2 linked regions of the Tamandua tetradactyla genome follow. The protein of the gene in region 1 binds, or shares a complex with, the protein of each later gene. Links are inferred from orthologs where the notes say so. Each region holds a gene or a part of one and is shown on either strand. Other genes may lie near its edges.

What was found. The genes of interacting proteins can lie anywhere in the genome.
Region 2: CEP290 (region 1) and TMEM216 share a complex: the UniProt entries of both Homo sapiens proteins name them as parts of the tectonic-like complex. The link is inferred for Tamandua tetradactyla from reciprocal best matches to the Homo sapiens genes CEP290 and TMEM216.

The regions. Positions count from the first base shown.
Region 1 is NC_135333.1:157,258,624-157,266,127, forward strand, and holds the start of CEP290 (centrosomal protein of 290 kDa), read right to left. Parts: upstream 3,075-7,504; 5' UTR 2,719-3,074; intron 2,183-2,718; exon of another isoform or gene 2,180-2,182; 5' UTR 2,155-2,179; coding exon 2,053-2,154; intron 1,940-2,052; coding exon 1,862-1,939; intron 1-1,861. UniProt on the Homo sapiens protein: Involved in early and late steps in cilia formation. Its association with CCP110 is required for inhibition of primary cilia formation by CCP110.
Region 2 is NC_135335.1:13,744,483-13,752,008, forward strand, and holds the start of TMEM216 (transmembrane protein 216), read right to left. Parts: upstream 3,096-7,526; 5' UTR 2,581-3,095; coding exon 2,478-2,580; exon of another isoform or gene 2,464-2,477; intron 2,402-2,463; exon of another isoform or gene 2,039-2,401; intron 1,918-2,038; coding exon 1,816-1,917; intron 1,280-1,815; coding exon 1,187-1,279; intron 1-1,186. UniProt on the Homo sapiens protein: Part of the tectonic-like complex which is required for tissue-specific ciliogenesis and may regulate ciliary membrane composition.

The DNA.
Region 1 (7,504 bases):
GGGCACATCTGAGCAACAAAAGAGGTTCTCTGGGGGTGACTCTTAGGCATAATTGTAAGTAGGCTTAGCTTCTCCTTTGCAGGCAAAAGTTTCATAGAGGCAAACCCCAAGATCAAGGGCTCAGCCTACTGAATTTGTTGTCCCCACTGCTTGCAAGAATATCAGGAATTCCCCAGATGGGGAAGTTTATTATTTCTTCCTTTCTCTCCAGTCCCTCAAGGGGACTCTGCAAATACTTTTTTATTCTCTGCCCAAATTATTCTGGGATATATCAGGGCATTGCATAACCCCTATACAAACCAGTAAGATCTCATGTCTAAGGCATATTTTTACATCTGTTGATGGTAACTCAAAACTCTTAATGGCTCCTTGTTGTTGTTAGCATAAAATAAGGTCTTAAGATAGCCTATCCCAAACCATTCACCAATGTGCTATATTCTCTACACACTTTCTGCAGCTGTTTCCTTAAATGCAAAGAATAAGCACACTCCTATTTCTTGTCTTTAATTACGGTAATTTCTCAGCTCTAGAATCTCTTTACCATTTTACCATTCCCCATTCACTTATCTAAAACTATTGTCAGACCTGATCCTGCATGAAGTCTTCAAAGTTTTCTCAAACCTCTTAGATCTCTCCTCCTTTTATCTACAACTATAGCAGTTATTGCCTGCATTATTCATTAGGACCTCCGTATATACCAAAACGTATTATTTATTTCTAAATAAACCCATTCTGCTTCCCCTACACATTCTTCTAGGAACTTTAGAGCAGGAACTAGCAATGCTTTGCACACTAAGGGCTCTCTTCAGCCACATTTTTTATTTTTTTTTATTTTTTTTATTTTTTATTTTTATTTTTTTATTAACGGAAAGAAAAAAAAAAAAAGAAATTAACGCAACATTTAGAAATCATACCATTCTACATATGCACTCAGTAATTCTTAACATCATCACATAGATGCATGATCATTGTTTCTTAGTACATTTGCATCGGTTTAGAGGAACTAGCAACACAACAGAAAAAGATATAAAATGTTAATATAAAGAAAAGAAATAAAAGTAGTAGTAATAGTAAAAAACAACAACAACAAACAAACCAACAAGCAAACAAAAACAAAAAAATCCCTATAGCTCAGATGCAGCTTCATTCAGTATTTTAACATGATTACTTTACAATTAGGTATTATTGTGCTGTCCATTTTTGAGTTTTTGTATCTAGTCCTGTTGCACAGTCTGTATCCCTTCAGCTTCAATTACCCATTGTCTTACCCTGTTTCTAACTCCTGCTGAACTCTGTTACCAAGGACATATTTCAAGTTTATTCTCGAATGTCCGTTCATATCAGTGGGACCATACAGTATTTGTCCTTTAGTTTTTGGCTGGATTCACTCAGCATAATATTCTCTAGGTCCATCCATGTTATTACATGGTTCATAAGTTTATCTTGTCTTAAAGCTGCATAATATTCCATCGTATGTATATACCACAGTTTGTTTAGCCACTCTTCTGTTGATGGAGATTTTGGCTGTTTCCATCTCTCTGCAATTGTAAATAACGCTGCTATAAACACTGGTGTGCAAATGCCCGTTTGTGTCTTTGCCCTTAAGTCCTTTGAGTAGATACCTAGCAATGGTATTGCTGGGTCGTATGGCAATTCTATATTCAGCTTTTTGAGGAACCGCCAAACTGCCTTCCACAGTGGTTGCACCCTTTGACATTCCCACCACATTTTAATATATCTCACTTTTTGAGTGTTGATTCAGATTTTACAAAGTACTTAGGCAGAGATTACTTATTTCAGATAAGAAGAGATTCTTAAATGCTTTCTAATAGTTTAATAATAAAATCTACTGCATACAAACCTTCATTAGTGACTGAGTAACTCTGAAAAGATGTATCACATTTTCTTGATTTTCATTTTTTAGTTCATTTACTTCCACCTATGTAAACAAAAAGCAACTATTTAACCAAACTATAAGAACGCTTCCAGTTCTACTACAAAATGATTTCAGGAGCAAAGATTTAATCATGGTTCTATGTATATATTAAGCACCTTGGATAGTGAAATCAATAAATTATCTGCCAATTCTTCTTGACGAGGCAGGTCATCTGGGTCAATTTTCATAATTTCTTTCCAGTTTATATTAGGTGGCATCTTGAATTCTTTCACTGTGCTTTACCTTCTATAATAAAACAAGTGTATATTAGCATTTCCAAGGTAAACAGTCTTGACTCATAACTCTCTGCGGTGTTAGTTATGGCTCCTTAATTGCAAAAGAAGTAAATGGGCAAAATAGCCTAACCAAGAACTGTAGCAGTCGGCCCAAACTGTCAGAAAAAAAAACAGTACCGAATAAATAAAATTCGACGGCTTCCTTGCTAAAAGAATCCAGGTTAGGCCTGAGATTCTGGATCCCCTTCCCGACAAACCCTGTCCTCAACACGCGCGCACATTTAATGGTGCCAAGAGCGGGGACACTTGAAAGGCTTAAAATGACTGACTCGGATAAGCAGCAACTACGGGTAAAAAAAAAAAAGTGCGGAAATAAACATTTGGACTGAGTGAAGTTGGCCTGGGAAACCAGGGCTGGAGCGCGGAAGGCAAGATTGCAGAGAGACTAAAAGCGGCGGAGAAGCGGCGCTGTTAAATACAGGCCCTGTGAGGCTAAAGAACCCGCGTTTCACAACACTCCGACAGCTCTCAGGAAGAGCAACCCACCTAGATCAAAACAGGTAGCCAGCGAAGAACCCTCATCTACCGCACCCACCACGCCTAAGCCAGCCGCCGAGCTCTGACCACACCCCCAGCGCCGTTCCACTCGACGTCTAGGTCCGGCCAACTGGAACCATGCAGAGTAGCGGCGGTGGCTGCTAAGCGACGCCTTTCCCCACCCCGCAGACTCCGGAGCAAGGCCCCGGATGCAAGCAGAGCCTACATTTCACGACTGTGGATTAATGCTTTACGTTTAGATTCCCCGCCTATACGTGCTAAAGAAGAGGAGAAGGCATGCAATTAGGCCTCTAAATCCCAGAGCGCAGTTCTGCGCCGAGTCCTGTGCATGCTGGGAGCTGAAGCCGCTGGGAAAGGGAGGGTGGGTGTTCCCAGCGTGCAGTGCGGGAAGCTGCGCCCGAACCCGGGCAACCTGGATAATACTTAGACGCGGGAGGTACGGGGGCTGAGACGCGTCCACACTGGTGGCCTGAGCGAGTTAGGCCATGACTATGGCTTCAGTGGCCTCACTCGCTGGGCCCTTCTTCCTGCGCTTTCCCTAAGCGGCTATCGCTGTGGTACCTCTACCAGGTGAGGTTCGGCTGTCGGTCAGCGGAGGGAAAGGAATTGAGGGGAAGCTCCACGCACTGCGACCGAAGGGCCTGGCCCTGTTTTGAAGAGCTAGTAAGCGCCACCTTCTCCTCAGGCGTTTGCAAGAGGCGCCAGGGTGGTGCCCTCTGCGAGGAAAAAAGTTTTGTCCTTCTTTGGTATCAGAATCTATCTCCATATTGTGAAGTGGGGCCCGCGCAGCCCAGAGCGTGGTTTGGGGACCAGTGAAGAATTGAAAAGATGTGGTGGTCCTCCGATCTTGTCCGCTTTACCATTGCTCTCGCGGATTTAAGGATTCGATAAGTGCTAGGGTAGAGTGGAAAGAAGAGGTCCCTGCTGGGGGTGGGAGGTGGGTGTTGGAGAGAGAGAAGGGCCGCTAGGTTTGTCAAACCACTTGTTTGATTGCCGAGGGTACCTTCTATGGGAGGGCCTCTTCAGTTATTTACCGCACTTATTCGTGCGAGTTTTGAGCATCCTTCTGCTCCCCGCGATTCTGGAGTATGAGGGATTAGTGCTTGATACAGCACTAGGTAATTTAAGAAGCTGTAGACTTGAAATGTAAAATGACTTCCCAGCTGTGTGTGCCAGTGCGTCTCATCGTTACCATTTTTTTTTCCTTAGCTTTTCTTTCATTATTAATACGATAGTAAATTTTCCTTTTGAAAATAAAAGATTTCTTTTCAAACCACTCGTTTGAGTATTAAAAGTAGCCCAGGTGAAAATAAAAACGTTAACTTTGTGAAATAAATTTTAGAGACATGTGTTGGGTTTGTAGATACTATAATTTAGTCCTTTACTGAAAGATTATATGCCAAATACTGTGCATTATTTCATTTAATCTTCATAAAAATCCAGTGGGATGGGTTCTTAATACTGTACTCATTTTCCAGCTAAGTTAAGAAACTGCATCTTAGAGAGTTTAAGTACTCTGATCAAATCTAAGTAGGATAATTGAACATGGTTCTTTCTTTCTGGAGGACAAGGTCTTAACACCTACTCTAACTTCTCTGGGCACCAGTATTTGTAAAGGGCTGAGTGAATCAACTTTTCTATCTATGTTAAATATATCATATTCTAATTGAGACTTTATTTCGTCTGGACTTCAAATATTCTTCACATTCAATGTTTTTAATTCACAATTTACAGGGAAAGGAAGGGATGAAATTTAGTATTTACTTTGCTTATTACTGCATATTTATTTTTGTAAGAAGAATCTTTTTTATCATAATACCCTGTTTTCTACATAACTTTCATTGTAACTAGCTATTACTTGATATTTATTTTACTGATTTTGTTTTACTGTATTGGTCTTTTTTGTCCTTACCTTCCTTACCTTCTTATTCATATTTATATTACCAGCACGTGAAGGTGCCTGGCCTATGGTAAGTTTTATTCTCATTTTTCAGAAGTTAAAACAAATTCAGAGAAATTAAGTGATTTCCTAATAATTGGTGAAGCTAATATAACCCAGATCTCAATAATAATCCTGACTAAAAGCAAACTCGTGCATAAAATTTCATTCTTTAACCTGTTCTATTTTTGAGCTTGAACACTGTAATAGACACTGGAGATACTTTGTATCTCACTATGTAATTCTGAGGAAAATCGCTAATACTGTCCATTACTTTTCATCACATTTTGTGCATTATTCAGTTTCCACAAAGAGCAGGGATTAATGTGACCTTCTTTCAGAAACACTTGCCTAGACCTGCCTTCTTTTTTCTCTAGGGCTTTATGAACAGTTTTATCTGACCAAAATCTCTTTGCGAGATGGATTTGTCTTTTGTCATTGCTACCTCTGTTCTCTGAAGCAGTCAGCCAGTATTTCTTAGATGTTACTACTGTTCTCTTTTTGCTGCCTTATCATGTAAATAAGTGGTAGCTTACTTTTTCAGTGTCTAAAATAAAGCAGGAAATATATTCACTATGTATGGTTAATACTTTGTTTTTGCCTCATTCTCTTGGAGAGAGGTGTGTACAGCAAGCAGACACTTGTCTTCCTTCAACATGAGAAGACTGGAAAGGATAGTAGACGTCATAGCAGGCCAAACAAACTTACAAACTTTAGAAGTAGAACATAGAACGTTGTTGTTAAAGAAGATGGTACAGTCACCATGGAACCATTGAACTGGGAGGACTTCCCTTCATAGGCTAAATATTTCCAGATTCATTATTGCAGGTTTATTTTTTACACAATTGAACTGTTGGATCATTGGAAAGAGTGAGCACTCAGTACAATTTTGTTGCCAGAATTGTATTATAAGATGTGTTTGTATCTATGATGTAGGTTATAAGTTGTCTTTAGTTGCAGTCTGAAATTACTCTACAGCTCAGGTGAAAAAAAAACAACTGATAGAGCTGCCTTCTGCTGAAGTAGCTTTATGCTAAGAAATACTAGAAAGCTTGAGAAGAAATGTACTACCAATAAAATTTTTAAAAGATATAAATATCATGAAAAGGAATAATCCTGTTATATTTTCTCAGAATACATTAGAAGAAAAAGGAAAATTTTTAAAATGAGACATCAGTGATATAGAATATTGTTCTGAAATATCCAACCTCCTGATAATACATATTTCTAAAAACGAGAACTTAAAAGATAGAACAAAACTAATAAGGTATTTAAAAAAAAAAAACGAGAACTTAGAACAAAACTATTAAGTAAAACATAGGAAACTTGCATAATGAGAAACATTTTAGATTTGTATTTTTAAATATAATTACTGTGTTTTCAGTTGAAGCGTTTTGTTGCCAGGTGAAGGTATTTGGATTTATAATGTTTGTATACTGGCCAATGACACGGAAAAGCCAATCATAGCTGTAATAAAATATATAGTGACATCTCATTTTTGTAATGTAAGCAGATAAACCAAGCGACTCTCCAATCACACTATTTGCATATGTATGGGTATGCTTGTGAACATAGAAAAAAAAACCTCTAAATTCACAAAACAAACAATTGACAGTGATGTATTACATTTTTACAGTGTGACCCCCCAGGGAATCATGCTTCCCTCTATACTTAGTGTAACTAACCCCCCTCCCCTTAGCCTTCCAAACTCTACCTTTGCAGATTGTTCTTTCGGACAGAGACTAAGATGATTCTACATCTGAGCTCCTGAACATGAACTAGAATTAGCACTCCTTTTCTCATATTAAGCTGCCTTGGAGATTTTTTAAAATTCTGTCATTGGCAGTTTTATAACCTCCCCCACATTGATTCTGGATTTAAATTGCTTGGTTGAGAATAACAATGCATTAAGGAAGCAGAGGCCTGAAAGTTCCTGCATTGAAACTTGCCCTGTTGTTTTCCTGAGATCACCATTTAAAGAATCCCAGGCTAATTCCTAGATGATGGGGCCATGAGTAGCAGAGACTAGCCTTCCAGGCTGAGACTTCTACTCTTTAAATTGTTAGCCATAGTTGTTATCAGACAAAAGTGGTGGATTCGTTTGCCAGACGCAATCAGTAACCAATTCCTGAGACACTGGGGTTTCAAAGACAGAATTTATTTCTAGGCATGTAGTAGGTGAGCAGATGGCCTAGAGGCCTAAGATCTGTTTCCCTGAGTTTAGAGGGTTCAGGATTTTTAAGGAGTTTAGTGAGGGGAGATGCAGTCACTTTGGATAACAAGTTTAAAGCAGAAAAGGACACAATGTTATTTCAATAGGAGAACAGAAGTTGAAAGGAGAGAAGGCAGAACTATCACTTCAATACTAAAAGTATAAAAGTGTAAGCCAAAAGAAAGGGATACAAGTTATCTTTAATAGTTGAATCTAGGGAATATGATTTACAAATATCTAGGACTGAAGCTAGTTAATGGCTGACTACAAATTATCCATTAGCATTAGGGTCTTTGCCCTACAAGAAAATGACCAGAAAAAAAGAAGTAACAATTCTTAGTCACAAAGGTACAAGATAAGGGCTTTTTGCAATCATTTCAGATAGGGCAACTGACTTATACTTTAGTGATTTAGATATTCCCCTGTCTACTCCAATATCCCAGAAAGCAAAAAGGAATAGATTCGGTAATCATAATCATCCCTTAAATCCTAATTTCTCAGTTACATAGTCAAGCCACAAAATAACTGTAGCCATGTGAGTGACCCCAGGCAAGTTCAGCAAAAGAACCACTAAGCTGAACCCATGCCAGATTGTTGATTTACAACCATGTGAGCCTGCAGTT
Region 2 (7,526 bases), on another chromosome or scaffold:
TTCACACACACAAATACCACATTCTTTTTTAATGGCTATATACAAGTCTACTGAGCCAATACCATAATTTAACTAATCTTGTATTGATGGGCCTTTATACTGCTTCTAACGCTTAATGTTACAGAGCATGAGGCAATAAACACTCCTGTATAGATTAAAATATTTCCATAGATTTATGGAAATTTTTTTAATCAGTTTTGAAAGTGAAATTGTTGGGTCTAAGGATATGAATTTTACATATCATATCCACCTAGAGTATATAAAAATACCTGTTCCCCACACCTTCTCTAATACTGGGTATCATAATTTAATCTTTACCAATCTATGAGTGAAAATGTTACTTTGTTGTTTTAGTTTGCTTTTTATTATTAAATTCTTTTCCTTAATAATTTATATGAGCCTTTTTTATCTTGTTTGTCCTATGTGTTGCAAGTATTTTTTTCTCAATCTGTGATTTGGCATCGTATTCAGAGATGGGATATTCTAACTAAAAAGGGACTTTCTCAGTATTTCTGGGGATATAAAAACGTGTCCTAAAGAGGTGGGGTTGCCATATGATCTTGCAACCCCGTTGACAGGAGGAACTGAGAGTGTGGACACAAATGGACATTTACTGGTGTTTATGGCGGAGTGTTGGCGATTCGCAATGGATGGAGGTGGCCTAAGGGTAAAAATACTGAGGAATGGAAGGGGGAGCTATGGTTCTGAGGTGGACAACTAAGTGGATGACCCTTAAGGACAGTATGCTGAATAAAATGTCAGGAACAAAAAGACAAAAAAACAAAAAAAAACTTACCCTAAAGAGATCCTTATTCAGAGAAGTAGAGGGGATCTTATTGAGTGCTGATCTGTGAAGGCATCTACTGCCTGGACTCAGAGTTACAGTGAAAACCAGTCTCCCAAAGCAAACCATTCAGAGGAACCCGGAACTCTTAGAGCAGTTAGGCAGCTGGGAAGGAATTATCTAAGCTCCCATACTGCTGCCCACCACTAGCCCTTACAGAGCAACAGACAGGCAAATCTTGATCCAAAATATAAGGCAGCTTGAAACTTCAGAAGCAGTAAGGGCATATCCCACAAATCGAATCTGATTGTGAGCCTGGGTTATGTACTTTTTCTTGTTAATCAAGTTACAGATACCAACTTATCTCATAAAGAATGGAAATATTCTCTGAATAATACTCACCAAAAAAGAGTCGAATGACTTCAATTCCAAGATAAAGGAAAAGCATCACCACATCCAGTATGAGGTTGGCTGTTGGATATGGCAATAGGAGACCTGCCAATAAGAAAGACATGGTTTGCAAACAACACATAACAGCACCCACAAGGACTCCCACACACTTGGGAAGAAAGAGATGAGTCTTATCAGCTTTCCAAAAACTAGTTAGTGAGAATGTAGACGCTATTACAGCTGTGGGATAAGTTAACTCATAGTGTGACTATGTTTGTTAGAGGGAGGCCCATTATTATGGGGTTTTATTCTTAATTCCAAAAACCTGTGGACACATCCACATGATCTGACAAACGTAGGCACACAGGCCACTAAATAGTTTCTGAGGGTCACCAATGGCCTTAGACTGAATTGAACAAAGAAAAGTGATGGGCGAGTCAAAATGGAGACTAATTCATTTCCTAAACTCAAGAAATTCTTACTGAGAGTCTTCCTACTTATTCTCCAGGAAACTATCTAATGAAGAGACTTCTGCCTTGCAGTGAAGAGAAGCTACAAGAGGCAGAAAAGAATGGAAATAGGCTCTGGGGTGAAGTGGGGAAGGGATATTGGAGCACGGTTAGTCAAGCCCCAAGCCTTACCTTTATAGAGAAATATGAAGAGTTCCAGCAGGAAATAGGTAGCATAATACCACCCGTTCAGAAAAAACAGGATTTCCAGGGGCGTGGAGGACAACCGTTTACCTGAAAAGATGGACACAGACAAAAGGGTTGGGCGGGGGGGGGGGGGGGGGTGTGGGGGGAGTTCAATCTCCTTTCCCTGCACCGTTCGGTGTCTAACTTGGGAAAACCCGAGGTCGCTGCTGGGGGGAAAGGCTGTTGGGTTGTGAGGGGTCTTCCTTCCCTCCCCATTTCTCCTCGGAATCAACCGCCAAACCCAACTCTGTCTTTCGGGTTCGGAGGTGAAAGCCAAGAGGAAGCTCAGAGGGTATCCCAGCCGACAGGCGCCGCTAAGATCTCATCCCATCACTATTCGACACTGGCCTGTTCAAGGTCACGCGGCGCATTCCTAACCGAGCCGGCCTGGAACAAAGCCAGCCAAGGATTTGGGGGTGTCTGAGACCGCACCTCGAGACCTTCGGGCTCTCAAGGTGGGTGAGGCTACAAAACCCCGCTTTGGACATGTGAGGAGCAATGTCTTCACCACCTGACAGCGGAGTGTTTAGGTCGAGCTCTGGGAGAGAAGGGAGGTCGGAGTGGGGGGAGACGGGGGGCCAGCGACTCACACACCTCCGGAACCTCACCTCGCGGCGCCATCTTCCGTCCCCATGGAAACTGCATACGCGGCAGTCTCCGCTCCGGGAGCAGCGAGGCGCCGCGGGAAGCGGAGGATGGAGCGGCCCGCATTGGCCTTTCTGCCCGCTCGCCGTACTCTATGGCTGCCCCGGGCGGAGCCGCCCTGGGTGCCGTCTGCGCGTGCGCCGGGAGGAGCCGTGGCTGCAGGTGCTGCTGGCAGAGAGCGCAGTTCGTGGGGGCTGGCGAGCATTGGCCTCCCGCGACGCTGTCGCCCTGCGTTGCTGCGCTTTGGGCAGGAGGGGCCAGTTGTGACAATGGATCCAGAGAATTGGCAGACAGATCCTAGCCCCGCGGTTCTCTTTCCTAACAACCGCCCGGGGACGGAGTCGGGGTGCCCCATGCTGCTCAGCAAACGCCTGCTGGGGTTTAGCCTTGGTCTTTTGTGCGGCACGTTTACGTACCAGGTAGTCAGGGACACTGAAAGGAATCGGAAGGAGAGCTTCTTGGGTTTTGAAGCCTGGTTCCGATTTGGGGCAGGGGAGTGGAAAGAGAAAGAGCTTTGAGCGGACGCAGGCTGACTTGACTGTGACTCCGTTGTCAGGGTCCTTGAGGACACATGGCAGAGTCGAAACAGCGATTTGAAGAGAGTGGCTAATCTTCAAGGAACAGTACTGGAGTCCTGGCTGGTGTGTGTGTGTGTGTGTGTGTGTGTGTGTGTGTGTAGGGGCGGGGGTGGGGGTGGGGAGCTGCTGTTGATCCCTGGGTGAAAAGAGGCAGTAATTGTTATTTCTCCAGGGCTTAAAGGGAAGGGGGCCTTGGAAGCCTGGAGAGAGTAATGTGTAAGAAGCAGGCCTGCCCAGAAGAGCTGTGACAGTTTGGAGGGTGGGTGGTGCAGTATGCAGCCCTGTACTCCTCTCCTCCACCTCGCAGGCTCTGATTTGCTCCAACCTGTGAGAATCAAACTAAGCTTAGCTCTCACAAAGGTGACGCAGGCAGGGAAAGGGGAGGGCTTCTGACGCAAGGCCGAATCCTTAATGGCCAGGGTCATTGAAAAGGTAAAACGTAAACAAAGGGGGAACCTGCGGCGGGAAGTTCACAGTAGTTAGATTATCCGGATAGGCTGTAACCTCTGGGGTAGCCGATCAGCCGAGAAACGGGAGGGACTGCGGGTCCGGCACAGGAATAACTTTCAGCTTCTGTGGTTTGGCTCCAGCCCCCCTTGTGTGTTCCTCTAGGCGCCCGTTCTTGCAAGATGGTGAATAAATTGTCTTCTCCTCCGCAATCGGATGAGCGTTTGTTCTCCTTCAGGTACGGCGTTCGTTCTGACAACTTTGGGGGCCCTTCCGGGATCCCAGGCTTCGCAGGAGCACCCACCCACCCCCAGGAGGAAGGGAAGGCGCACCCCGCTGATTGAGCGGTCTTAAACTCTGTCACTGGGGGCCAGCTGCCGACAGCCGGGATGCTTCGAGCCACCGACTGTGAACGAGAAAGAGGAGGGGCTGCCTCACAGTAAGCAAGCAACTCTGTGCACGGACCAAGGTAAGAAATCGGCTGTTAAGTATTGCCTGGGTGGTCAGGAAGGATCCTGATGAGTCTGAGGTGGAGTGTGTGTGTGTGTATGTGTGTGTGTGTGTGTGTGTGTGTGTATCTGAGACGCCCAAACATGTGCCGGGTCCCAAACCACCGTGAGGAAAAGGGGGCTGGAGACGGTGAAAGTGAAACAGGGATGAGAGAAAGGGACCTTGGCAAGACACAGGATGGGGAATAGAGGCAGGCGGCTTACCTGGAGAAGAAAGGGAGGGGGTGCTGGTAGACGTTCAGGGGACATTCCCCTGGACAGTCCATTAGGGAGAATGTTAAAATATTGGGCTGATAATTATGGAACAAAGGGGAAGGACAAAAAGGAAATGGTTAAATATTGTTGTTATATTATGACCAAAGAAAGCGTTGTGCTGTCCGATATATTCTGGCCAAAATACGGGGCAGATGAGGGTTGGATTTGTACAAACCTCGTGCTTTATGCTAATAAGAACCCTTTCTCGAAAGATGACTCGGATTATGCCAAGTGTTGGCTAAAGGGAAGGGAGAGTCCTCTTTATCCTGTAAAGGTAGCAGAGTCAGAGGCTAAATCTTTAGAAGCTAAAGCCTGGGATCCTTTATTGAGTCTTTCCTGCCCTGTGCTCCTCCCCCAGGACAGGGACTGTTGGACCCTGAAGGCCCAAGAAGACTAACATGCATTCCCCACCCCCACCTGCCTCAGGGAGCGGGAGGGGCAATCAGGGCCAACTGTTCCACCTGTGACAGTCCACCAACCATTGAGGAAGGAGGTGGAACAACGTAAGAAAGATGGAATTTTCCATTTCCGAGGGCTCCTGAGGGTAAAAGGGTGAGGTAGCATAGGCCTTATAAGTCGATATTCCCTCTTAGAGAAGTTCCTATTGGACCAGGGGAAACTGGTTATGTCAGTGTCCCCTTGACCAGTACAGAAATGAGGAACTTTAAGAAAAGAAATGAAATCGTTACTGGATGATCCAGTAGGGCTAGGTGAACAACTGGATCAATTTTTAGGGCCCAGCTTATACACCTGGTCTGCATTTACATCCTCATGGGGGAAGAAAGGGCACAGGTGAGGAGGGCATCTATGGAAAAATGAGAGAGGCAGCCCCCACCTGGACAAGGGATGATGGCAGCAGAGCAGCAGTTCCCTAATGTAGATTCCAACTGGGATAATAATGATGAGGAAGACAGGGTACAAATGAGAAATCTTAGAGACCTCATTATACAAGGGGTATAGTTGTTAATACCCAAATCTCAGAACTTAAATAAGGCCTTTGAGGTGGCCCAAGAAAATGATGAGACTCCTTCTGCTTACCTACAAAGGTTGAGAGACCAGGCAAAGAAATACTCAGGAATGGACCCTAATAGTCGTGTGGCCCGAGGAATATTAAAGGTCAGCTGTGAAGGGATCTTGGCCTGATAGAAAAAGATCTAGAAAATAGATGGATAAACCACTGGAAGAGTAATCTGGAGAATCCCAGAAAGTATTTGTGAGATAGGAAGACAAAAGATAAGCAGAAAGCTAAAGTCATGATAAGCACATGATGACCACATGGTCAAGAAGAGATTAGAGATAAAGCAGGGAGGAGACAGGCACAGGCAAGATAGAGAGTTGGAGCTAGAGGAAATAAAGGAGAGAGGAGGGCCCGGGACACAGCAGTTCTGTGTATCACTGTGGGATAACATGTTAAAGGGGAGTGGTTGAGTTTAAAGAAAGAAGGTCGGGGTGAGACCCCTGATGAATTTTGAAGATTGGGGAGGTCAGAGGCCCCTTGCCTCAAGAGCCCACCAGGAGACTTTGGTAAATCTGAAGGTGGGTCTATATTCAAGAAGCAATTACATTTTTGGTAGACACTGTGGCAGCTCCATCTTCCGTGCACCACATCCCAAAGGGGATTGAATTCTCTGGTAGCTCTGTCACGGTTTGGGGAGTAAAAGGCGAAAGGTTTCAAGTCCCCATTTTCAAACCTACTAATATCTGTTGAGAAGGGAACCAAATTATAAGTTCCCTGTTCAGAAGCTGGGAGTAATTTATTGGGAAGAGATCTGATAATACCCATGGGACTGGACCTGGAGGTGAGGGATGGCCAAGTAGAAGTTGTCTTAAGCCTTGCTTACCGAGAAAGATAAGAAAGGCATCCAAGAAAAAGTATGGGTGAGGGAGGGAAGTGGGGGAGTTGCACGTTTCCTCTATAAAAATTAAAATGTAAAAGGAAGGGGAGGTGGTTTGTCAAAAAGAGTCTCCCATCCCATTGAAGGGGAGACAAGGACATCATCCAGTCATCGAAGGTCTCCTTCGAGATGGGCTCTGGGAAACTGAATGTCCCCTTTCAGTAATCCCGTTCTTCCCACCCAGAAAGCAGCTGGTAGCTGGAGGGTGGTTCAGGACCTGAGAGCCATCAATCAAATTGTTCAGGTTAGACACCCCGTGGTCCCTAACCCTTATATGCTCCTATGATGGATTCCCTACCATCATAAGTGGTTCAGTGTAGTAGATCCGAAGGGTGCCTTTTGGGTCTGCCCTCTTACCCCAGAGAGTAGGGACTTGTTCGCCTTTGAATGGGAAAATCCCTTCACTAGAAGGAGGCAGCAATATAGGTGGATGGTCCTACCCCAGGGCTTCACAGAGTCCCCCAATCTCTTTGGGAAGGAACTAGAAAAAGTGTTGGGAAGGTTTTCTATCCCATCTGAAATTACCCTTTTACAGTATGTAAATGATCTGTTAATATCGGGTAAAGAAAAGCTAGGGCATTGCCCAGGCTGCAGGGGACCTGTTGAGCTTCCTGGGGGGCCAAGAACTAAGGGTATCAAAAAATAAAACTACAGGTTGTGAAAAGGGAAGTTAAATACTTAGGCCATCTCGTAAGTGAAGGGAAAAAAGGAAAGTAAATCCAGAGAGAATTCAGGCCATAATTAGATCGCCTCTTCCCTGGACAAAGAGGGAACTAAGGAAGTTCTTAGGATTAGTGGTGTACTGTAGGTTGTAGGTAGATTCTTCAGCCTCTCCAACTAAAGGGTTATACCAAAAACTGTTAGAGGAAGAGCCTGACAAATTAGAGTGGAGGGAGGGGGGAGTAGGAGCTGCAGAAGGGCTCAGACGGGCACTGATGAAGGCTCCTGTCCTAACTCTCCCCTCCCTCGAGAAACCTCTCCATCTATTTGCTACAGTAGATAAAGGAACAGCATTAGGGCTACTAACCCAACCCTGGGGAGGCCAAAGGAGACCCGAAACCTTCCTTTCTAAACTTTTGGACCTGTCTCCGGAAGATGGCCCAGGTGCATTCAGGCTGCTGCAGCACCCACTCTCCTAGTAGAAGAAAGTAGGAAACAAACCTTTGGAGGGGCATTAGTGGTCAGCACTCCTCATCAGGTCAGGACTGTTTTATCCCAAAAGGCAGGGAGGTGGCTGACTGATTCCTGAATCCTGAAGTACAAGGCAATCTTAATGGAAAAGGATGACTTGGTTTTGACTGTAGACAATAGCTTGAACCTGGCCTCCT